4 linked regions of the Arabidopsis thaliana genome follow. The protein of the gene in region 2 interacts with the protein of the main gene of each other region in a pairwise test. Each region holds a gene or a part of one and is shown on either strand. Other genes may lie near its edges.

Region 1 (6,507 bases), on a different chromosome or scaffold from region 2:
GTTTATGAAAGCGCTCCTAGTAATTTAGAAGACTTGTCTACTTCTAGTGATTTGGCATTTCGACGACTTGTATTCAAAAGGACTGAGGGTTTGATACAGTCTGAAGCTTTGCTTGTAGAGGATGGTGAGATTCTTGAACAGTCTCAGAAAGAAAAAACTAAAAATGTTTCCCAATCGAAGCGAAAGGGAAATAAAAAGCAAAACCAAGGTAAAAATCGTACTTCTGTAAGTGTTTTGATACATTTCAGGTGAAAAGTTTCATGATCTTTTTTACATGTATCCATTTCAGAACCGAGCAGGCCTCTTATGAGGGTCTCTCATGATTATCTGGCTAGCTCTTACCACACTGGAATTATTTCTGGATTCACATTGGTATCTTCCTACTTGAAGAAGGCTGAGTCATGCGGAACGATGGTGAGCATTATTAAGTTGTGGCCTCACGGTGCAACCGATCTGAATCTTTTCTTTGCCTTGTACTGATCCAGAAATGTTCTGATGCTTTTCAGGTTAAGACTGTTGTAATTGGTCTTGGAGCAGGATTACTTCCCATGTTCCTCCATGGATGCTTGCCATTTTTCAGTATTGAGGTAATTTCAGTTTAAAGGATTAATCAAGTTGAGTATTTTCTATTGCCACTCATATTCTGTATCCTGTTGAATAGGCGGTTGAGCTTGACCCAGTAATGCTTAGTGTTGGCAAGGATTACTTTGGTTTCACACAAAATGATCGCTTGAAGGTAAAATTCTCCCTCTTTACAACAAAAGTGCTGGCTAAACTTTAACATGTTTATATTCTATTCTATTATATGCACCATCACTCAGCTCGTTCGCATTCTTATAATAGGTGCATATTGCTGATGGGATCAAATTCATTAGAGATATAACAAACTCTGAAGCTTCGTCTGAGGAATCGTCAAACATTGGCTCAAATGGAGATTCAACCACTCACAATACACAAGGTGGAATTTGTCCTGACATTTTAATTATAGATGTGGATTCAGCAGATTCAAGGTAAAAGACATGGCAAGTAAATTCACATATCTATGAATTTACCCACATGGTAAGCCTGATTGTTTTCTTGTTTGATCTCTTGTCTGCAGCGGCGGATTAACCTGCCCTGCATCTGATTTTATCGAAGAGACATTTCTTCTTTCGGTTAAGCAAGCTCTCCCTCAGCACGGTCTTTTCATAGTGAATTTGGTCACGAGATCACAGTCCGTCAAAGATATGGTAGTATCAAGAATGAAAAAGGTAAAGCAAATGTGATTCATTCCTTGTAAATTCTCTGCATATTTTCACAAATCTGATCTGATACTATTGCACGGAAATTGAGTCATAGAATTGATCTCTATTGTTTTGTTTTTTGCCAAGGTTTTCGATCATTTATTTGGCCTGCAACTAGAAGAGGAAGATGACGTAAACGTAGTGCTCTTTGGGCTTTGCTCTGAATCTGTAATCAGCGAGAACGATATTCCAGAATCTGCAGTTATACTGGAGGGATTGCTCAAGTGCCAGAGATTGGAAACGAAGCAAAGCATCATAGACGCTACAAAGAAGCTGAAATGCTGGAAATAAAAACATTCTTTATTATTTCGTTTTAAAAAGACGTGTGAGATATATTTCTGTTATAAGTTAAGATTGAAATTTTTGAGACTATATTATATACAATACACCTAGTTTCGTCCATACGCAAATGGAAAATGAAGCGTGGAGTTTTTTTCATAACCTTTATGATTGTTAGACCTACCAACTTATTGAAGCATTCAATTTGGATGATAGTGAAGTTGGAATGTAAGTTAAACATCAATGTCTTGATTAATTTTGTGCATTTTTGGGAACTATCCGTATTGTTTCTGATTTGAGTGATCTTCCTTATTGTTGCTAAGAAATGCTCGAATGGTGATTAGCATAATTGCTGTTTATTCATTGGAGCTATAATAATTATGGTTGTAATATTGTAATTTGGGAAAGAAAGCCTTTGATACAGGCCGATTTTGGTACGTACGTAAGAGAGATATAAATTGAAACACCTAAACCAAAATCTGGTCGCCGCGAAGACAAAAGAAAAACATTTGTGGCAAAGAAACAAATTCAGAAACCGCGTGGGTCCGATATGGAACGCTGATCAATTGGACATTTGTAAACATTTCAAATATTTTGCATGTAATCAATATTGTTGTTATATTTTTTGCCTTTTAGTTATAGTTAGGTTTGTTTTTTCTGTTTGTTTGGTTAGATTCAACTATTTGTTTATGCTTTTCAATTTTGGGTTAGTATTTAGCTGTTTACTTTGGAGAAACAAAAGAAGATAGATTCTGTTCCATATAAACAAAAAGCTGTGTCGTTGAAACTTGAAAATGTGAATATACTCGGATATCAACCAAAGGGTACGCTGCATTAACCAACCTCCCTCGTAGAAAATTTCAAAGAAAGGATAACAAAACAAGAAAAAGCACAAAGTTGAAAAAGAAGTGACAGATGCAGAAGAATTGGTCAAAATCATTTTGACAAAACTACATAAAAAACAATCAAATGTCACTTTCAAAATTATTAGCTTATTTATTATTTTATTATGAAAATAATGAAAGCGACTTCTATCTGGGACTGGTAAAAGGACCTCTCTCACCATTGGTTGTACATTAGCTGTCAAATTTTTACATTTCCATTACATTCCCTAACTCCAAATATATACACTAAACTAAATTCTTCAAGTTACTTCCTAATTACTACTATAGTAATTATTTCCTAACCGTCAAATAGTACTGAATAACACATATAATATAGTTTCGATTGATTAAGAGATTTGAATTAAACAGAATAAAGTTTTACGATTATATATTCTAACAATTTATTTGTCTCACAAAAAAATCTATAGATTTAATGAGAATTAAATGAAGAGGACGAAAGGAAAAACAAAATGAAGAAAAAGACATATGAAACGTAGTCCCCTCTTTTCTTTGCTTTCTTCTCTACATAAAACTAAAACTCCTCTCTTTCACGACCCTTTAAGTAACGACGCCGTTTTCATCCAAACACAAACCTCTGGAATCGTGTCACCGTTGGAGCTCCGGCTTCATTAATGGCTTTCTTCAAGACCTGAAGACAAAAGAAAGTAAAAATATATATACACTAGAGAGACCAAGATCCTCGTTTATGGGTTTCATCGTGTCTTGTGCTTAGGGTGACATAAATACCCATTTAGAGAGCTTAGACCAAGAAGTTTTAGAGTTTGTGAAGTTACTTGTTGGTTAGTCTGCTGTTTCTGGCAAATGCTGAGTCTCTTCTCTCTGTAAGTTCTTTTTTCTTCATTTACTCTGTTTTGTTCCCCATTTTTGGTCTTTTTGACTTAACTTAGAGTATTTTAAGGCAAAATAAAATCATGAATCTTTTGGTATTTTTTGTTCTCATCTTCTTGTGGGGTTTTTCTATTGAAGTTTGCTTAGCTTTGAATCTTGTCTAATGGAGCTAACTCGATCCAAAATAAAAACACGTATAATGATTAACTAGTTCTGCTCATTAGATGAACTAAATTAATGAGTTAATTCCGTAGTTTCATGCATCCTACAATGTATTGTCTATGTATGGAAGCAAAGTATGATATCATATTTAAACATCTATGATTGTGCTACTAAACTTTAAATAATACTTTAAGCTGATGTGATCTTATATGGATAACCTCTGACCATTATCTACTTTCTTTGACCATTGCTCTTGTTTTCTAATCCAAAAGTCGTATCTTCCAATGCATTAGTTGGTCCAAACCTAGATTTGCATCCCTTAATTTGTAGTAGTTAACATCTAATTTTGATGTTAAAACCAAGACACCACTTTGTTTGTCTGGTCTGAGAATATCTCAAGGCGTATAGTTTTGTCCTTATGACGCTTGCAAAAGCAAGTTGTTGAGTTGTAATCTTATGTTTTTTTCTGCAACTTGCCTTGGATGAAGCCATGAGATTATCTTTATAAATGGTAGCAAGTAAACCGGTTTCTTATGTCGAAAAACCGATCATTTTTGTTTTGTTTGATGACAAGGAATGGAATACTCTAGAGACTCGGCAGAGATGATGATGGAGACTAAGCGCAATGTCTACTCGCTTGAAGATAACAAAATTAAACGACACAAGTCATCTGATCTCTCTTTCTCTTCCAAGGTCTTGTGATACATCAAAATCAAAATTCATTGTGGCTATGAAGCTACCGGACATTTCTGTACCAGCATGCTAATGATCTTGAAACTTTGTTGTTCTGTGGTTTAAACAGGAGAGGAAAGACAAATTAGCAGAACGTATTTCAGCTCTTCAACAACTAGTTTCCCCTTACGGAAAGGTACTACTTGGTCCGAAATAATCTTTCTTACACGCTCTTTGTCTTCTCTAGCCATGTTCAAGTCTCTATCTATGCAGACCGACACTGCATCAGTTCTTCTAGAGGGAATGCAATACATTCAGTTTCTTCAAGAACAAGTCAAGGTCTGCTCAAGTTTTCTAATCAAATACTTTTCATTCATTCACCTCCTCCAATCCAATGATGATTATGCTTGATTTTCTCTGTTCAGGTTCTAAGTGCTCCTTATCTGCAAGCAACCCCTTCTACTACAGAGGTGAGCTGAATCTATGATCTGGATCTCGTTTACTTGGATCACAATGCAAGACTGATATTTTCCATCTCTGTAACTAGGAGGAAGTGGAAGAGTACAGCTTAAGAAGTAAAGGGCTATGTCTTGTTCCATTGGAGTATACATCAGAAGTTGCTCAAACCAATGGTGCTGATATTTGGGCTCCTGTGAAGACTCCAACATCTTCTCATGCTTTTAATCTCTCGTCTTCTAATTCGCCCTTTCAATGAGCTGCTGCTAAATTCTCTGTCTCAAGACTAATGAAAATTAGCCAAAGCTTTGGTCTGATCATGTATTGATGGAGAGACCTTGAAGTCGGTGATGGCTGTTTCTGTTATTTTTTACTGCTTAATCCCAACTCTGTGGTGGCTTCTTGTAACAATTGATTCTAATGCGAAGTTTAACGGACCGGTCAATGACCGGAATTAGCTTCCTGTTTAATAAAGTTTGAATTGGTGAAAAAGAGTTAACCGGTTTAGAGAAACCCGGGAAACTTAACCCGACCCAAAATTGTCAAACCCGTTTTGTTTGCGGCTATTGAAGGATCTTCTATTGAAGAGAGCAGCTAGCTAAAACCCTAAAGCCCTAAAATCAAAATTACGCTAAACAGAGAAGGCGACAATGGATCACATCGCTGCGGCGGAAGAGCAAATCGTATCGGAGAGACTTCGAAGAAAGCTTGAAGAAGTTAATGTAGCTGCTCAGACTCAGCTTTCTCCTATCCAAGATCACATCAATTTCACCCTTCAGGTATATACAAAAATCTGTACTTTTCGCGAGCTCAGCATAAATTCTCTCTGATATAACAATTTAGCAATGTTAGCTTCTGAATATGGAATCTTTATTGGTTTGATACAATGCTAGTTTCAAATTTGATGAATTGAGTAGGTTCATGAAAAAAGTCTGAAAATTTGCATTTGGGTTCGTACTATATTCGTCTTTAGACACTATGGATTAGGTTCACGACAATTGCTCTGGTTTAATTACTATATTGTGCTCTGTAGGATATTCGATAAGTAGGCGTGTCTCGTTGCATAACAATTGCTCTGCTTTGTCTTCAGAAGCATGAGAGTTATTAACACCTTCTCTTGTGTTTTTGGGTTGCTATATTGAGTTATATGATCCGTTGATTCAAATTAATTAAACCCTGACAACGATATCATTGTTGCAGCAAGCTTATTTCAAATGTGCATATGAGTGCTTTGATAGAAGAAGAAAGCAAGAGGAGATAAGTAACTGCGTCGAGCACTGCAGTGTTCCCGTTGTCAAATCTCAACAGTATTTCGAGAACGAAATGGCTCAATTTCAGGTAAAGATATCTGCTAAAAGATGATACATAGTTTGCTGTGTATAAAGACTGATTTTTGTTGAATGAATGTATAGGAAAGATTGAACAGATCACTGGTGGTGTGTCAAGACAAGTTTGAGGCCTCAAAGCTCCAGAAGATAAGGCCTGAAGCGGTTAACGAGATGGAGAGTTGTGTGCACAAATCCATTGAGGAAAATCTCAATACATTACCACATATTGTGCAGAGAATGAAGACAGCATTTAACATAACCAACTAAAAGCTCTCGTGAAAAACCTTGGATTCCAGAACTTGACTAGCCATATTGTTTGAAAAGACCTTTTCTTTTGTCTTAATATGATCTACAAATTTGTTTTCCTTTTTCTTATATTAAGTTTTAAAATTTGCCACTGTTTTGGAATAACTGTATTTGCTTGTTCTTCATCTTCCCTAGCGAAAACTTTAAAACTCTATAAAAAAAAATTGAGGATAAATACATGAATTTAAAGATTGAACCGAACAAAAGAGACTAACCAATAGAATAGAAGCAAGTAATTTAGTGAATATCTAAAACTAATATAAAAATATATAGAGATTATCACTAACA
Region 2 (6,935 bases):
TTAGTTATGAATTTATACCGTATAAATATAAAGGTTACGAATTTTAGATTTTGTTACATATTTTTAATTCATAACTAAAAAAATATGTTGTACCACATTGGTTTAATTTGTCTAAAATTGACAATAATTTATGGCCTCAAAGCTCGGAAGCAGATAATATAAATAGTAGGTACACAATATCCGGCAATTGCAAAAAACAAGTGAATTGTATACGCGATCCAAAGATGGAATAACTAAATCAACTTAGTTTATCGTGACTAAAAAGTAATCGTAAAGGGTGTGTTATCTTTATGTGGTAATGTGAAAAGGATAAGAATTTGATAATGGACATGTTAGAGCATTTCAGAAGGACACAACACATTAATATGCGCATTATCGTTTTAGGAATCATATCGTAATACCTTTTTACCTAACGAACCTTTTTGGTTTTAAGCTGATGATTAACACTTGTAACCTTAAGAAGCAAAATTTTACAATATCTTTGTCACGTGTCACTCCCACAACTTAGTGCACCTTCACATGACTGCCTAAAAAGAGCAAAGAAAGAAACAACAAAGACATGGTCCCCAACAATAATCAATGTTGGCAAGATTTTGCCCATCTTTTTTGTTTGGACAAGACTTAAGGACTGTGATGTATATGCTTCGTAGGGTCGATTCATAACATCAAATTAAAAGAAATATTATAGATTTTGTTTCGTTCAAAAACTTTAAGTTTTAATATGTAAACATTTTTAATAATGATAAATTTAATTCTAAAATATAGAGAATATTCCTTGATTTTATACAGATTATCATATGAACAATAGGAACGAAGAAAACGGATAAAGTGGAGCGAATATGTGTGTTCACATAGAACGTCTTAAATGTAGTTTTGGATTCAGCTCTATAACAAAGAAGAATGAGTAAGAAAAAAAAATTTGAAGTTAATGTATGATTCAAGCTTTAATGATTCATTCCAAATATCATGATTGACCATTATGAATGTTTTTAAATTGTAACTTGTAAGATACCATTTTTCCACATGTCAAGGAGATCAACCATTGTAAATAATTTAAATAGTAAAAAATATGACTACCACATCTTCCACAGATCTTGGAGACTACTAAACTTCGATTTTGGATACTTAGATGAAGAAAAAATGAATACAAAAAGTTTAATAACAAACTCTTGAATCGTCGTATCATGTTTCGAGCACCTACTTGATTATCTAAGATAAAAGTTTGTGGATTTATGAAATTATCTTTAAGCTAGCAACTTATCTTAGTTAGTTGGTCTTTTTTACCATTATAGTCATATGTTCAAGATTTATGAAATTGTTGATGATTCTAAGTTTCTAACAAAAGAAAATAAACTAATTACCTGAATTATTCTTGAGTTACAATAAAATAAGCTTCTCATTGTACATCACTTCTCTTCTGCTTTTCTTTTTTTTGGATGTAAGAACATACAATAGCATTGGAGTTCGGACCATTACACAACCTTGCTACTTTCTTCCCTACCAAAAAAAGGTTCCAACTTTACAAAAACCCTTTTCACCACCACCACCAAATTTAGCTTTGTTCATGATCTCTTCTCTACTTTGCTATCTTCGACTTTTCTCCAAAGGCCGAACCGATACTTCTATGCACAACTCCCTCCCTGGCTAGCACTCGCGCATACTCCCACTTCTAGTTTCACGCACTAGAGCATCTACATCTTGCCCGACTCTCTTCGAGCGCCTGACCAAAAATAAAAGTATTCAGTTTCTTACAGAGTGAACAAAGGGATTCAAGAGTGATTAGTATGCAACACTAGTGAGATCATTACCTTCACTTGTTCTTGCAGGTCCTTGATGTATTGAACCGCAAGATCCAACATGTCTGCTGTGTTTGTTTGCTGCATATCAATTGAAGATGATAAATACATTGAGCAAAGAACATGAAAGTACGAATATGAGAGAGGAAGATCGCATAATCTAACCGTGTCCATGTTTGGAACAAGGTCTTGCAGCTTCCTCATTCTTTCACTGATCTTGGTTCTTCTCACCTGTTCCACAACATTTTGGAAACATATATAATCGTTGGAGAAACTGATATTATATCATCATGGAATCAATGCCACTGAGAGCATAATAGTAAGGGGAAAGATTTACCCTCTCGGCTATGCTTCGAGGATGAGTTGCACAACCCCGCTTGGCTCTGATCTTACATGGGATAGAATCTGACAGTAACTGTTCAATATCTGATAAAGACTTGGGCAAACTCATGTGATGTGCCAAAGGAGGACGTCTACTTGCTGAATCCTCATCCTGTTAAATTGAATTTCTTTAGTACAATCAATCAAACAAGAACAATAGCAGAATGAATTTTCAACCGCAAGAAGTTGGTTTCAATGGCAAAACGTCTCTCATTATAAGTTCATACCTTGGTTTTGTATTGATCTAGACCTCCAGATTGGGTCCTAGCAAGAGCTGTAAGCTTGGAAGAAGCAGACCCTTCATTCCCAAAAGAACGATTAAACCCACCGGAAAGCGTCCGAGGAGGCAATCTAGACGAGAAACCGGGTTTAACATCAACCTCAGAGATCGGACTCATCGCTCTAGAAGTAGGAGGAAGTAACTTGCTTCTAGGAGTAAGAGACGAAGCTTCAGTATTGCTTGTACTCATCACATTACTTCCTCCAAAACCTCCCATACTTTTCATTACAGCTGCATAAGCTGCAAAATTTCCAAGAAAAAACAGAACAAAAGATTCAAAAAGACTTCACTTTTCATTCATCACCAAATTTAGTGATTAACAAAGTACTAGTTGCAGATAATATCTGTAATAAATAGCAAATCAATAGAATCCAATCTACAGAGACCAAAACAAGCAAGTTGCTTTAAAATCATTATAGTCCTATCAAAATCCTAAGTATATTCTCATAAAAGTTACCAGAAAAAGTTTCCAGATTAGGAAATAATTTCTAATTAAAACTAGAAAGAAAAGAGTCAAACCTGTTTCAACATCAATGGATGAAAATAATCCGGCCGGTGAACTATTATGACGAGCTAGATTATTCACCGGAGTCCGATCATCTTTCTCTCTTGGTCTCTTATTCCTCGAAACCGAAGCCACATACCCAATCGATACTTCAGGATTCACTGAGATTTCACCATCACCGGAAACAACAACCTCCATCGCCGTCGCCGTCGCAGTCACCGGAATTTCAGCATCTTCGTCCTCTGTTTTAACTTCCGGAGGTTTCTTCTCAGTTCCATCACTGTTAAAAGTATGGTGAAGGAAACTATCAACGTTGTCGCTTGTGTCGGTGGTTTGTAAAAAGCCAGATAAGATTCGCTCAGTTTCAGGACTTGTGGGTCGATCTAAAAACTCTTCGATTGATTCACCGAAACTCGAAAAGTACGAACTTGGTGCTGATTGGTAACGAATCAATCCTGAGTTTCTTGGTCTCTGGTGTTGATGATCGTGGAGAAGGAAGTGATGTTGCTGGAATTCTGATTCCATCTTAGTAGCTTTTGAGTTTCTCTCTTCTTTGGTTATTTTTTTCTCCGTTTGCAGTACCACACCGGAAGTTTCGTTCGCCGGGAGATGAGATTGTTTCCGGCGAGAAATTAAAATTAAAAAAGAGAACGTGAGAGAAACTTATGTGCAAGAGAGAAGAGGAGAGGAAGAAACAACAGAGGGCAGGTAGAGATTGGGATTTATTTGTGATTTGACTAAAATACCCTTTATGGTGTCTTCTTATTACGAGTGGAACCCTTGATGCTGACACGTGTAGGCCACGTGGGGACCACGTTAACATTTTTATAATGTTATGTAACAGTGAAAAATAAATATTGTTTTCGAGAAAAATATTTTGATGTCAATTTTTTTTTTTTCGATGTGATTATTATTTTTTGTAAATTTGGTATACTTCCAATCAGTGTGGCTATTAAATGATTTTTCTCGTTTTTCAAAGAAAAATATCAGCAGCTTTTTTTTAATGTTTTTTGGACTTTATCTTATTTTTAATTTTAATAAATGAATTTTAAAATCAGCAATTATTGAAATGATTCAGAACTTTTAATAAAATAAAACGACGACTATATATAATTGTGGGAATTAAAGCTGTTGACTTATAAAGCAATAAAAATGGCTGAGAAAAAGGACATATGTCGATATGACGTATATTGAAATGACGGATAACTTAAAAAGAAAAACAAACTATAATATTTATTAATAAATTATAAAAAAATAAATAAAATCCAAAAATATAAAAAGAAGAATAAAATGAAATGAAAATAGTTGGAGGATCAGACAGGTGTTGTTGATATGGCAGTCTAGGGCTCCAAATTTTAGGGAACCTTTCAAGCGACTTAATCCAACTATTCACGTTTAAACACGTATGTACCTCCGCATAAAATATAGGACACGTATTGTACTTACGTTTTTGTATAATACTAGTACTTGTTTAAAGTTTAAAGACCAAGTGCTATTTAATCTACAAAATACTGTACATAACAACAACTACTAATACATATCCGAATTCAAATTTCATTATCCACTTCAATTAATATGTCGTATTTGCGTGTTTGATTTGGAAAAACACTTGAGAGTCGAATAGTATTGAACTTTCTTGCTATTCGATGAAATACAAACTGGTTAATAGAAAAAAGATAAATACTTATATAAATATGTGTAGAAAAAATCAGAAATGTGAATATATATGACATGGTAGTGCAATGTAACTTCTTGATTCATCAAAAGTGGACCTTAAAATCAAAGGGGAAAAAAATGTGACCCTAAGCTGCCGCTTATGTGGCTTATGCGGAAGGCCGGCCATGACCAAACCGAATTCAAATCGATAAAGTGCTTATATTCATGTTAAGGGACATAATCAGAGTCGGGCCATAGTTACAATCCATGAAACAAGAGTTTTACACGGCAAATTAATATGACTACATGAGTAATTTTTTTAATCACATATTAATTGAAAAATAATTTTATAATTGGTTGCCCAATTAAGAAGAAAAATATTGTATGAGTAATTTGAGCGTCATTTTAACTAAACGTTATTGTAGTGTAGTAAGAGATTCAATTCCAACCAATGAATTATTTTAATTTTTTTAACAGTTTGTGTTAGTGGATCAAAAAACAAAATATTTATGCAGCAAAATAGTTTGATACCGATTAATGCCTTGGGCGTTAATTATACTTAAAAATATCAAACGCTTGTAATCTATCTGTACTTCAGTTTTAAAAAATTGGTGATATCCTCAAGAAAAAAACAAATTTTGGATTTCTTTCACAAACTAATTAATGAATTCAGGAAGCTGTTATATAGTATTTTTAAAATCCTAAATCAGCAATGAATTTAGCAACTTTTATATTTTTAGATCTGGGTTGTTAACATAGAATAGAAACTGCAGAGCAAAAGCTAAATATAAATTCTAATCGTTTTCTATATTTTGTTTGTAAGGAAACATTTTGGTGTCAAGAAAGTACTCGTTACTTTGGAACAAAGAAAACAATACCCATAAATATAAGATAAGGTTTGAGAATGTGAGAATCGAGGTGGAATACAACAGAAGAAGCACAATCTCACGTGGAACTTAGGCGTGAAGATCCTCTTCCTAGAAATAGTAAGCCACCAATTTAGAATCTTTCTCACTTTCTTATTGTTTATAAAAAAAATGTCTTCAAAAAGTCTTTTTGGTTTTAGCTTTTTTCAGCACATTTAGTCCCTTTTTCTTGAAATCTTAGTATGCATTGATTAATCTATATATGGTTTTAAAATAACAGTTTCAGTTTCATTGAACTATATTCAGGTCAATATCTAGTGTAGTTACAATTGATTAGAAAAGTGCATGCATAATTTTGTTTTAAAAACTTATAATTCAATGAACACATATAATGTACATTCATTTCGACCAAAGTAATAAACTCACTAAACCAACTGAAATGTTAATGAGCTTAGGCTTACTACTTTGTTCTTAACTTAAATATCGAAACCCATTAGCATTATGGGCCTTAATAAGATTCATGGCCCAATGATCTTTTTGCTTCATCTTCTGCTTTCTTCTACGACAACCTAACTCATCCACTTCTTCTCCTTTCACAACTCTTCTTCTCTTCTTTACCCCTATAAATTTTACATATTAGTTTATTTTTAATGTAAATTTGATTGAATTTGAAAAAATACTTGGTTAAAATTAGGGTTTGACCCCTATAAATTTGTTCTAACTTCCAAATGACCCCTTTAGTTGATATAACTTTTTAATTTATCGTCCATCATAAATTTTTTTGTTTATTTGACCGCTATAAAACTTGTTTGTAGATCCGCCACTGGTATATACATACATTTTAATGGAGCTGTGAGAATACTTTTGAGGTTCAACTCTCGTTACAATACCTTTTGTGACCGATATGGTATCACCACCTGTATTTGCGCATAACATAACTATAATAACTCATTTTCTTTAAGTGAATCATGGTTGCTATTCTTTTCTCAATACCACATATGTCAAAGCTTTTTTCTTGCCAGCTAATTTGTACTCAGTGCGAAAAAAATTTAGCATTGTTCAAGACGTACCACGAGGATAACCTAAAGCGTAGACAGTTTCACCGATAAAAGGTATGCCTCCGAGCTCCAAAGGATTTATATCCTCCCAAAACTCTTCACTATCAATACCTAAGATAGCTAAGTCACATCCATACCTAAACGCTTTAACTTCAGCTTTGTATTTAGTGGGTGAACCATGTTTTCTCACTTGCAGGTATAAGTGATCACCCACAACATGAGCGTTTGTAAGAATCCTCCTCCCGGAGATTGCAAATCCTAACATAGATATTCCAAAGCCGAACAATACCATACGATTTTTTAAAATTTGGAAGTCTAATAAAGAAATCACACGAGAGAGAGAGAAAGAGAGATGTTTATGAATACCAGAGCTTGAGTATTCTTTCTCAGTTG
Region 3 (5,360 bases), on a different chromosome or scaffold from region 2:
GTCAGGATAAGAAAAAACAAGAATAAGTAGTAAAGCTGACTAAGACATAGCTGGAGTTTGTATGTACAATGACTCAAAATTTAACATTCTATATACAATGGTGTGTTTCCCTTTCTTTGTATTTGCAATTATCATATATATATATATTAGAGAAAATAAGTGAAAAATAACATCATTCCATATAATAGAAAATATAATCTTGTATTACTTAGCTTATTAATACATTTTTTTACATATCAATTAATATTTTTTACATATTAATTGCTATATGAAATAACATGAAGTTACCAGTTTGCAACGGTCGATATAACGAACTGAAGCGTAACATTTTTAAAAAAATTGAAATGAGTTAGTGTTTTTTTTAATTTACTTTTACACATAATGACGTATACTATAACAATTATAGATATATTTTAGCTAAGTAGATAAATTTTAGATTATACAAAGCCAGTTGGTATGCACACAAAATTATTATTTTGGAAGACAAAATGTATAAGATCACCATGGTTAGAAAAACAACCATATTTTCTATCTTTCATTGGAGTTATATATAACACATCATGTAAACAAAATCTAGTCAAATTTGAAATATATTAATTAAATTGGTGTATTTTTAACATATGAAGTATCATTTTAGAAAACAGAAAGAACAAAGTCAAGATAACTAGAGACACACGTACTTGAAATCATGAGTAAATAAATATTAGATTATACAAAGCCAGTTGGTACATAATGCACACCAAATTTTAATTTGGAAGACAATGTATAAATCAACATGGTTAGAAAAACAACCATAACTTTTAAAACTATGGATAATTATTCATAGTAGTTATATAACACATAACTTCATATAAACAAAATCTAGTCAAATTTGAAATATATTAATTAAATTGGTGTATATTTAAGAAAGAAAAAAAAAAGTCAAGATTGTTAAGAGGCACAACTATTTCTTTTAAACAAAAAACAATGAATTCAAAGTAGATTTACTGTTACAATTAATGCTATTTGCTCTTGGAGATTTTATACCTTAGCGAGTGCAACACAGTAATTAAATCTCTCAATATATACCATACGTCTCCGGAGAGAAGAAATCACTCACTTCTAATTCTCATCAAAGTTTTACAAAAAAAATGGAGAACCAATCTGTGTCTTCTTCAAGCTCCTCCACCACCCCAAAAAAACCTGATCAAAAACTCAAAAGTGCCGTTGTGACCGTGGAAGAGAAGGAGACAATGAACAATCCGGAACAAAGGCCCCCTCAAGAGGTTGTGTTTGAAAACACGATCCCTGACCCTGAGTTGCCTGTTTTCACATTAGAAGTTGTCCGAACGGAAAGAGATAACGAGCTAAAATATCCTCCAAAGGATAAAAATCTCGACTCGGTGCTTTCTGGTGGTACTTCTCTTCCGCCTTTCCAAAGCTTTCCAGTGCCCTCTTTCGGCCTCTTTGGTCCAGCGTATGGCGGTAGCAGCTCAACTAATGATATTAATCTGGATCTCACTCTTGGTCCATCTTCTTGGTCTAACACTAACCCATCTTCTTGGTCTAACACTGACCCATCGTTCTATCGAAAATTGTTCACTCCCGTGCTACCTTGTGTGCCTAGAAACAATTTTGTTGCTGGAAACCCGGTTGGTTCAAACACTAGGTATATTCCTCCGAATGGAAACAACAATGTTTGTCATGATTTTTTTTTTTTACAGGGGAATAGTTCGGCCTCTACTCACTCGAAAAGTCTCTTCTCAATGGGAAAGAACCAAGCCATGGTGCGTCATTTTGCTTTATCTTATCCAACCACCTATTATTGTTATGATTTGTTTTCTTTACAAGGGAATGGTTCGGGAAACTGGCCACTCAAGTCTCATCTCAAAGTGGGAAAAAAAGTCAGGGTGCCTCCTTTGGCTCCTCCCTATTGAAACAACAATCATGATTTTTTTTCTTTACAGGAGAATGGTTCGGGATCTAGTCACTCGAAAAGTCTCTTCTCAATGGAAAAGAACAAAGCCGTGGAGCCTCCTGTTGCTCCTCCTAATGGAACCACCGATCTTCTGTTTCCTTCACCCGAGAATGGTTCGGGCTCTAGTCACTTAAAAAGTCTCATCTCAAAGGGGGAAAACAAAGTCGTGGTGCCTGAAAATGATGATGATGATGATGATTATACTGATACTACTATCGGGAGGATAAGGTGGTTGAACAAGAAAAAAAGATCAAGACCAGAGTAGTAATTTATCTATGTCCCTTTGATTTTTCAGTTTTCTATTGAGGCTTATGTTCACCTCTCTTTTTTTTTTCATGCAATTGTTTCTTCGTTTCGTTTCAAATAATCTCTGTTGTTTCGATTAATTCATCAGTCCCTTTTGTTCAATTCCTATATCTCATGATTGCTCTAAAATTCCTGCAATTTTCAGAATTCATGGCCCAATTATTCGTAAGCAAACGTTATTTTTTCAAAAGGTTAAAGAGGTTAAAGAGACATTAAAGAGACAAAATGTATAAAATCACCATAGTTAGAAAAACAACCATATTTTTAAGAATATAGATAACTCATAGTAGTCATACGTAACGCATATGAAGAATATTGATTATATTGTTGTGTTTTTATCTTATGAAGTATCATTTTCTAGAAAGAAATTAAAGAATAAAGTGAATGACAGTTGTAGTCTTGGAGAAACAATTATTGCTTTTAAACAAAATTAAGTAGTTTTACGGTATCAATTAATATTTGTTACCCTTGGAGATTATATACCTTAACGAGTTAAATACAATAATTACTATCCTCTCAATAAATATCGCCTCTAAGCAAAGAGATAAGACATCACTCACTTCTAACTGTCAGCAAAGTTTTACAAAACAAATTATGAACAACCAATCTATGTCTTCTTCAAGCTCCTCCTCCCCACACAAACATGATCAAAAACTCAAAAGTGCCCTTGTGGCCGTGGAGGAGAAGGAGACAATAAACAATCCGAAACAAAGGTCTCCTCAAGAGATTGTGTCTGAAAGGACAAACCTTGAGATGCCTAGTTTCAGATTAAGTTTTTTCCGAAAGAAAAGAGATACCGTGCTAATACATCCTCCCAAGGATAACAAGATCAGCCACACCTGTCGTTTCTGCAAGAGGAATTTCAAAAGCTGTTTTGCCCTAGGCGGTCACATGAAGTGCCACAAAAAGGAACGAGAATTGGAGAAGCAGCGAAAGATAATCGAGGATGCGATGCTTTGTGATAGTACTCCTTTCACCTTGCAAAGGCTTCCTGTTGGCCCTTGTAAGTATGGCCAAGGTGGTAGCTCACATGCTTTATCAACTGATGGTATTAATCTTGATCTAACTCTTGGTCCATCCAAGTCCACAGGAGGCAGCAACAATAGCACTAATAACAACACTAACTCATCGTTCCATGGGAATCTAATGACTCCCGTGGGTCCTTGTGTGCCTAGATACAGTTTGGTTGCTGGAAACCAGGTTGATTCAAGCAATATACATGTTCCTGCTTATCCAACCACCGATCTTTGTTATGATTTTTTTGCTTTACAAGAGCATGGTTCGGGCTCTAGTCACTCAAAAAGTCTCATCTCAAAGGGGAAAAACAAAGTCATGGTGCCTGAAGATGATGAGGATATCGGGATGATAAGGTGGTTGCCCAAGAAAAAAAGATCAAGAGGAGAGTAGTAATTTATCTATGTCCCTTTGTGTTTTTCAGTTTTCTGTTTTCTATTGAGGCCTATGTTCACCTCTTCTTTTTTTCATGCAATTGTTTTTCTCTTTTTGTTTCTTTGTTGTCTTTTTGATGATTTTGATGTTTCGATTAATTCATCAAATCCCTTTTTCAATTCCTACATTTCATGATTGTTCTTAAATTTTTGAGATTTTCAGAAGTCATTTTCGTAAGCGAACTTAATTTTTTCAAAGGTTAGAGAGAATCTGCAATTTGCTTAAAAACATTAGTTAAAGAGACATTATCTCTTCATTGACAATTTGTTAGCCTTGGAAAATTGAAAAAAAAAAATAAGAGGCAGAAAGAAGGTCTATCTGATCTTCTATTGTTGTAATTGTAACCTCACAAAAAAAAAAAAAAAAAAAAAAAAAAAAAAAAAAAAAAGAGGCAGTGGTTTCCTTTTGACGATTAGGGTTTCGCTGGTTCCAGTTTGCCCGGTTTTCTTCCTTGACCCAGATCCGATTTACTAGATTGTATTACAAATGTAATCATCTTTCAGGATATTTGTAACAAAAAGATACAACTGTTATCCAATAAAACTGTTATTTTTTTTATGTATTAATATAATCTTGTAATCCTAGTAAGAATTTATAAAACTTAAAAACCTGTAAGGCTGTAACTGATGTTTGCATCTCCATTCTCCAAAGATCTTTTCTATTGAACAAAAATCAAAACTATTTTTGTTTCTCTTGTTCAAGAGAAATCTCCTTTTAAAGATAATTTCCTGAAGACATTTATTCCATAGTATGAAGATCGAGGTCTAGAAGTTGATAGTATTGAAAATTGTCTATTGGATCAACTGGATTGTTTTCTCAAACAAATGAAAGTCAATATTGAAAAACACAAGTGCTTTTTCTTCCAAGCAGGAGATTGATAATTTTGCATTTGGAGCTTGTGCAGATCATTTATATATTAATTTAAGTTCGTGAAGATTTAGGTTTATGGTTGTAGATACCTCACACAAAGCTTACATAGTAGTTACATAGGAATAATACCGAACATCGTCGCTTCATTTGAGATGTTGGGTTGATAGACCCAACAATAAAATCATCCTAAAAGAAGTAAGCTACGTACTTATTATTTATAAAGGCTTGTCCTCCTCCCTTCCTTAAAGCCAAAGCCAACTCTTTAAGTCTCGCTCTCACTGCTTCTGGCGAAAGCTCAAGTTGAGGATGACCTCTCAGAAAATCATCGCTTCCATTTCCATATTCCTCAGATTCAATCTTCTTAAAGCACATATACAATAGCAAAACGGAATCTAGAATTTTATATTATAAAAATGTTGCCACGATTTTTACCAATATCTTATTCAATGTCGACCAAATTAACTATTGAAACCCTAATATCACTGCTTTTATGGAAGTTTGTTTTTCTTGTTCAATCATCGTGGTCTAGAAGTTGATAGCATTGAGAGTTGCTATATGATGAAACTTTATAGTTTTTGCTAGACAATGAGAGTCAATATTGAATACATGAGGAATATGAATACTTCTCAACTTGCAAATTTGTATTTTTACTTCGCAAATTAACAATCTTTTATGAAATTTTAAACAAGTTTTTTGAAAACATCAACATAGATGGAAAATCTGACTAGGAATTTCACAGAAATATGTAAAATCGATTTCTAAGTTCTTGTTGTTAGTT
Region 4 (5,566 bases), about 13 Mb from region 2:
GATAGAAAGGTGAATCTGTGATGGTTTGTTGAGAAAACGTCGTTGAAGAAACCAACAACAGATACGCCACACCAAGAGCCAAAATCCAACCAAGCAACATGGATGTCTTGCTGAAACGAGACTGTTTTGAAATCTGATGAGTTTCTTCTTCTTCAATGCTTTCGCCAACTACTACTTCTTCTTCTTCATCATCACTCTCTACAGCTTCCAAACGCTCTTCACCATCAACATCCAGAATTTCCTCTGCGGCTTCCAAACGCTCTTCACCATCATCTTCTTGTTCTTCTACTGCAACTACACCTTCCTGAGAAGCAACTTCCTCCTCTTGTTGACCTTCCTCCTCTCGTTCTGCAGACAAATCAGTGTCAGAAGAAGAGCTTTCAGAGATGAAAAGCTCCTCAAGCTGCTTGCACTCATCAGAACGATGCTCAATTTTTGGATTTGGCTTATAATGGAGAAACTGAGGCCTCGGTGACAAGTAATTCTTCTTTGGATCATAAGGTGCCACCACTGGATCCACTTCATGAGACTCAAACACAGGAAATGTGCATGGAACATAAGGAGGAAGAGGACTGATCTTGAAGCTTGAATTATCATTACTCTTCCTCTCAAGAATCTCATCGAAATCACTGACAGTAATATCATGTGATTCCTCTTCACGAAGCTGCTTAGTTTCATCGATGCAAATCTGGTCTACATCTTTATCTTCCCCAATGATGCTTATCACATCAGAAAACGAGACAGACGACTTTACCTGAACCTGGTGATGGGATTTGTCAAAGGATCGAGACACTTCGTTTTTATCAGACAAGATCTTCTTCCTCGGCGATGGATTGATCTTGGAAACGGCTGAAATTGTCGGTGACATGAAATGCTTGGAACCTTTTGTTGGACCTTTGACGACATTAGCGATTTGATCCTTGTCGTTCTGATTCTCTTTATCACCAATCTCAACACGATTACTGCATTCTCTACCGATTGAGTTTCTCCGGGACGGATCTGCCGAAAATGGATTGCCTCGGAAACTGCGACGCATCAGATCTCCGGTTTCCGAGTTTCTTTGCTTAGGGTTTGGTCTGGAAGGCATTGAAGGCGAAGAGGAAGAGAATAGAGAAGAAGGAGAAACAGAGATCTTGTTCTTTGCTGGAGAAGACGCCATGAATGAAAATCACTCCGGAAATCAGAATGGGTTATTTAACAAATCTCAGATTTTTTGCGCTCGTTAAAGGAAAGAAAATATGCAAGAATCTGCAAGATTGTGAATGTAAAAAGTTCCTAAGTTTTTGAATTTTTAAAAGAGAGAGAGATAGAGAGATCGTAACGGCTAGTTGCCAATTTGCGATTTATTTATACATAGTGGATAGAAAAATCCCTAATAATTTTAAGTATTGCAAATTGATTCTGATTTTGACCATTTTTCACTGATACCCTAGTTTTCCAAATTTCTGTTATCTCCCCATAAATTTAAGATCTATCTAAATGCCCCATGCTTATTAAAGACTTCACAACGTAAGATTTGATTCCTCTTTCTTCCTGTAAAGTTGTTAAATTTATAAACGTGGATATTTATGGACAATGTAGAAACAGTGGGAAGAAATTAATGATTCTCAAAACCTTGGGGTTCAAATTAAAACAAAATTTCAATTTCTGTAGCCGGAAAATAGAGCAGACGATGTAACTGGGCCGCCACGATGATGACACGTCTGATCGCAGAGAATAAACTAGCCGTTATGGGCTCTCGTAAAGGGTAAGAGACGTTAATCAACCTATTAAAAAGACAGGTAAATCAGAAAAGCAGGCTTTGGGCCCGTCCACTGATGGAAAAAGTGAAAGCACCAATTATGTTGAAGGTTTTTACTTAACGGGCTTTTGACTGACATTAAAGAAAATTTGGTCATCGGCTAACTAAATAGGCCCAGTTTACATTATTTTCTGAGTTCCAATGAAATAAAATCCTTTTCTAAAAGTCATCCTCAAATACCACATCTGTGTGAACCTCATCGACACAAATCAGAATATCTTTCATAATTTTATGGATTTATAACTTATTTTGCGATTATCTGCGAAAGTGATTAATTAAGATGAGTGTTCATGTTGCAGAACTAATCGTTTTCGGAATAACTACCATCAAAATAGTTCTAGACAATTGTTACAATTACGTTTCTAGATTAATTTAGTCCATGAGAATTGAATTCTGAGGGGATTACTTTTCCTTCTTTCAGGCCAAATTTTTGCTATTGAATATCAACCTGTTGATATGAGTTAAATCTGCATTATGACTTATGAACGCAAACGAAGAAAAAAATACCAAATCAATTTAACAACAGAAATAACAATCAGAACTTTGGTATGAAATACTTAGAACCAAATCAACCAATGATGAATTTTTCTCAATCGATTTAAGGCAAATTGAGACAAAACTAAAAGATCCGACAAAATCCGATTCTGAGAAAACAAAATCAACGATTTCATACTAAAAGAAAAGGATTTAAGGGAGAGCGAGATTCAGATGGTAGTGCATGATGGTAAGATCATCAATGATGGTCAGAGTTGGATTGTTCTATGGAATCATCTTTCATCATCATTATCACCGCTCTCTCCTCTTTATTAAGAGTAAAACATCGACTTTAAATCTAAGAAAACACAACACAATAGACAAAATAACTTCTAAATTTTTCCCTAGAAAATAGTAATGAAGCTTCGAGAAAACACTGAATTTCTAGAGCAGACGCTGTTTCGAAGAATTCTGAGTCGTACATCAAAAGATTTGAGGTCTTTAAATAGTGGAGAGAACTCTAGGGTTTTAAGTTGGATCTTCTAGGTCGATAGGATTTGTCTCAGCTCGTTATTGGGCTATTGGGCTGTATAATTTGGCCCAATAGTAATAAGAGTTTGGTTTTGTACTTTTTGTATGGTGTGGCCTTGTAGAATAGAAAAGCAGTGATTGGTCAAAAGGTGGCAAGTTGTTTGACTATGACATCAATTCCTCATTTCATCTTTTTGATTTACAGAGAAAATTGAAATAGTCCACTCGGGACCATTGAAGCTCTCTCTCTGTTTCTGCATTACAAAAAGTGTTTGTTTTCAAGGTTTCTCTCTTTCACTTCTCTTTGTTTTCTTCATTTCAATTTCTGGATTTTGCTTGTAGCTACATTTGGTCTCACTCTATTCCATGGCTGACACTGGTGAGGTTCAATTTATGAAGCCTTTCATCTCAGAAAAGTCATCTAAATCATTGGTGAGCATGGCTCTCTATCTTTCTTCTTTTTTATTTTCTTATTTCAACAAGTTCAAAATATGTGTTTAGTGTTCTGATTTGGAGACTTATGGTTTAGGGTAAATTGCTTTAGTTCATTTTCATGGAGCTAATAACTTAGGTCCTTTAATTGCTTTTGTTAGCTTTAAATTAGCAAAAAGCAAATGAAAGCTTACTGAATCTTGCTAGATTTAGAATGAAGTTTATGTGTTGGTGTTGTTATAGGCTGCTTGAACCAAACATTTCTGCGGGGCTGAAAAGTGAAAAATAGCAAGTCCATTGTTTCTACGTTGCTGCTCTTGGAATGTCTCCTGAGAGTTGTTTTTTTATATATAAATGTTTGATTAGGAAATCCCCTTGGGATTCAACGAATACTTCCCAGCACCATTTCCAATAACTGTGGACCTCCTGGACTATAGTGGGAGATCTTGGACGGTTAGGATGAAGAAAAGAGGAGAGAAAGTGTTTCTTACAGTTGGTTGGGAGAATTTTGTAAAAGATAACAATCTCGAAGATGGCAAGTATTTGCAGTTCATCTATGACCGCGACAGGACCTTTTATGTTATCATATATGGTCATAACATGTGTAGCGAATATAGAGACTTCCCTCAAGTCGCAGTAGAGGTTGATGACTATGAAAACGGTGAAGAAGAAGAAGACGGCGACGATCAAGACAAACATCAGTAACTAAAATTTGGGTCTACTTTAAGTTGCTTTAAGTTTAAGTAGTCAGTTTTCATGTTGGATTTATGTAACCAGTTGTTTAGTTTAAATATTACGAATACTAGTATTTGCTTTCTGCTACATTCTTTGGAACATGGTTTAAAAGATTTACTGTGTATTGCTATCATTTTTGTGATAATTGTATTTGGTGAAGTAGAGTGTTAATACAAGAGAATGAGAGGAAGTGTAGGAGGGGGCATGAGTCAAAACCTTCCGGTGCAGTTAGAGTCTCTTGAAGACTCGGCCACGTGACAATATGGGTGTATTGACAACAGAATAAATAAATGTGGGCTAAATTGAATAAATTAAAATTTACGAGGTATTTTTAGAAAACATTTTGACGGTTAAAAGCAAGTGTTTGCTGTTTGGTTGGCTTTTGGCGGCGGAAACTAGAATCGTTGCTGCTACTCAGGTCATCGGGATAATGAAGAGCAATAAGTTTTCTTGCAAAACGAGAGCCGAAACCCTAGAATGGATCACAGCCATTATCGATTTCCTTAAACCGTTTTCTTTCCTAATCAATGCTCACGTTGTCAATTTCTTCAAGGTATGATCGATTATCGGAAACAATTTTAAATTCAGCTTCGAGTTGGGTTATGAGTTGATTGATGGGTTTGTATTCCAGGATAAGCAATGGGAAGCTGTTAATGAGGAATGGATGAGTTGCTTAAAGGATGAGAAGCCGGAAAATATTCTTCTTATTCCCTCCGGTGGTGTCCAGGTAAAGTTCTGGTCTCAGTCTTCATGATTGAGATATTTGATAGAAAGGGTAGATTTTTATTTTAGTTTGGAAAGGAGATGATTGATTATAGTATTTGATTATAGGATCACTGGCCTGCTTCACTAAAGAAATTTGTTCACACGTTGAGGTCTCTATCGTTTCCTCGAGAGCAAGCGGATTTACAGGCGGTATTGTATTCTCTTTACCTGTTTGTGCTGTTTCAGGATTAGTATTTTTAGATCCTAGACTAAATAAAGTTTAATCATTTTCGACTGTTGGCAGATACTCGCAGACGTGGATATGGTACCTCTTAGCACCGTTCTTTCACAGGGCATGAATCTTAAGAAAAAACATGAGGTACATTTTTATCTTCACACTTCACTATCCAGAGGTGCAAGTCGTGTCTTTCAATGATGTCTTGTTTTGGTAGGAATTTCAGTAGATTGCATCTGGTGACTAATCCCAATCCAAGAACCTTAAATTCAAAAGAGAGTATATATTTTTTTTGTAGCTGTTCAAGTCTTTTTACCATCAAATTCTGGCAAAGTTATCTGCCACTTCACGCGTAAAACATGAAATTGAGGATCATTAACAGCTCATAGCATTTTATATAAAAGTTTCTTAGTACAAAACTTATGTTTGTTTAAACGTAAGGTATTTGTCAAATGTATCTTATACTGGCCACTTCATTTGAATGGATCTGTAGGTCACTTATTATGGTATCATGCAGGTTGAAGTTCTTTCCTCTGTTGTTAGCTCAGTTGTTAAGAGTGTTGGAGCTCCTACTGTTGTTGATGTCGGTGCTGGCCAGGTATCTTCAATCCCTTTCTCTTGTTTAACTATCAATCTTAATTGCATGGTTCCTT

Evidence for each region.
Region 1: the proteins of FBH3 (region 2) and AT2G31730 interact in a two-hybrid assay, tested with the Arabidopsis thaliana proteins (one large-scale study listed by BioGRID).
Region 3: the proteins of FBH3 (region 2) and AT5G54360 interact in a two-hybrid assay, tested with the Arabidopsis thaliana proteins (one large-scale study listed by BioGRID).
Region 4: the proteins of FBH3 (region 2) and AT1G16640 interact in a two-hybrid assay, tested with the Arabidopsis thaliana proteins (one large-scale study listed by BioGRID).

The regions. Positions count from the first base shown.
Region 1 is NC_003071.7:13,486,120-13,492,626, reverse strand, and holds AT2G31730 (basic helix-loop-helix (bHLH) DNA-binding superfamily protein), read left to right. Parts: upstream 1-2,947; 5' UTR 2,948-3,288; intron 3,289-3,935; exon of another isoform or gene 3,936-4,031; 5' UTR 4,032-4,033; coding exon 4,034-4,150; intron 4,151-4,259; coding exon 4,260-4,325; intron 4,326-4,402; coding exon 4,403-4,468; intron 4,469-4,554; coding exon 4,555-4,599; intron 4,600-4,676; coding exon 4,677-4,844; 3' UTR 4,845-5,077; downstream 5,078-6,507. Other genes in the region: AT2G31740 (S-adenosyl-L-methionine-dependent methyltransferases superfamily protein), read left to right, coding at 1-208, 290-414, 507-587, 662-736, 844-1,010, 1,100-1,250, 1,371-1,574; AT2G31725 (FAM136A-like protein (DUF842)), read left to right, coding at 5,236-5,364, 5,786-5,923, 5,998-6,180.
Region 2 is NC_003070.9:18,942,127-18,949,061, forward strand, and holds FBH3 (basic helix-loop-helix (bHLH) DNA-binding superfamily protein), read right to left. Parts: upstream 3,687-6,935; 5' UTR 3,488-3,686; coding exon 2,977-3,487; intron 2,698-2,976; coding exon 2,405-2,697; intron 2,290-2,404; coding exon 2,134-2,289; intron 2,028-2,133; coding exon 1,962-2,027; intron 1,878-1,961; coding exon 1,809-1,877; intron 1,721-1,808; coding exon 1,676-1,720; 3' UTR 1,321-1,675; downstream 1-1,320. Other genes in the region: DEG6 (DegP protease 6), read right to left, coding at 6,244-6,401, 6,555-6,800, 6,909-6,935.
Region 3 is NC_003076.8:22,069,005-22,074,364, forward strand, and holds AT5G54360 (C2H2-like zinc finger protein), read left to right. Parts: upstream 1-2,857; coding exon 2,858-3,670; downstream 3,671-5,360. Other genes in the region: AT5G54350 (C2H2-type zinc finger protein), read left to right, coding at 1,131-1,916.
Region 4 is NC_003070.9:5,683,591-5,689,156, forward strand, and holds AT1G16640 (AP2/B3-like transcriptional factor family protein), read left to right. Parts: upstream 1-2,934; 5' UTR 2,935-3,172; coding exon 3,173-3,238; intron 3,239-3,604; coding exon 3,605-3,943; 3' UTR 3,944-4,137; downstream 4,138-5,566. Other genes in the region: AT1G16630 (uncharacterized protein), read right to left, coding at 1-1,159; AT1G16650 (S-adenosyl-L-methionine-dependent methyltransferases superfamily protein), read left to right, coding at 4,404-4,526, 4,605-4,700, 4,805-4,888, 4,983-5,057, 5,407-5,511.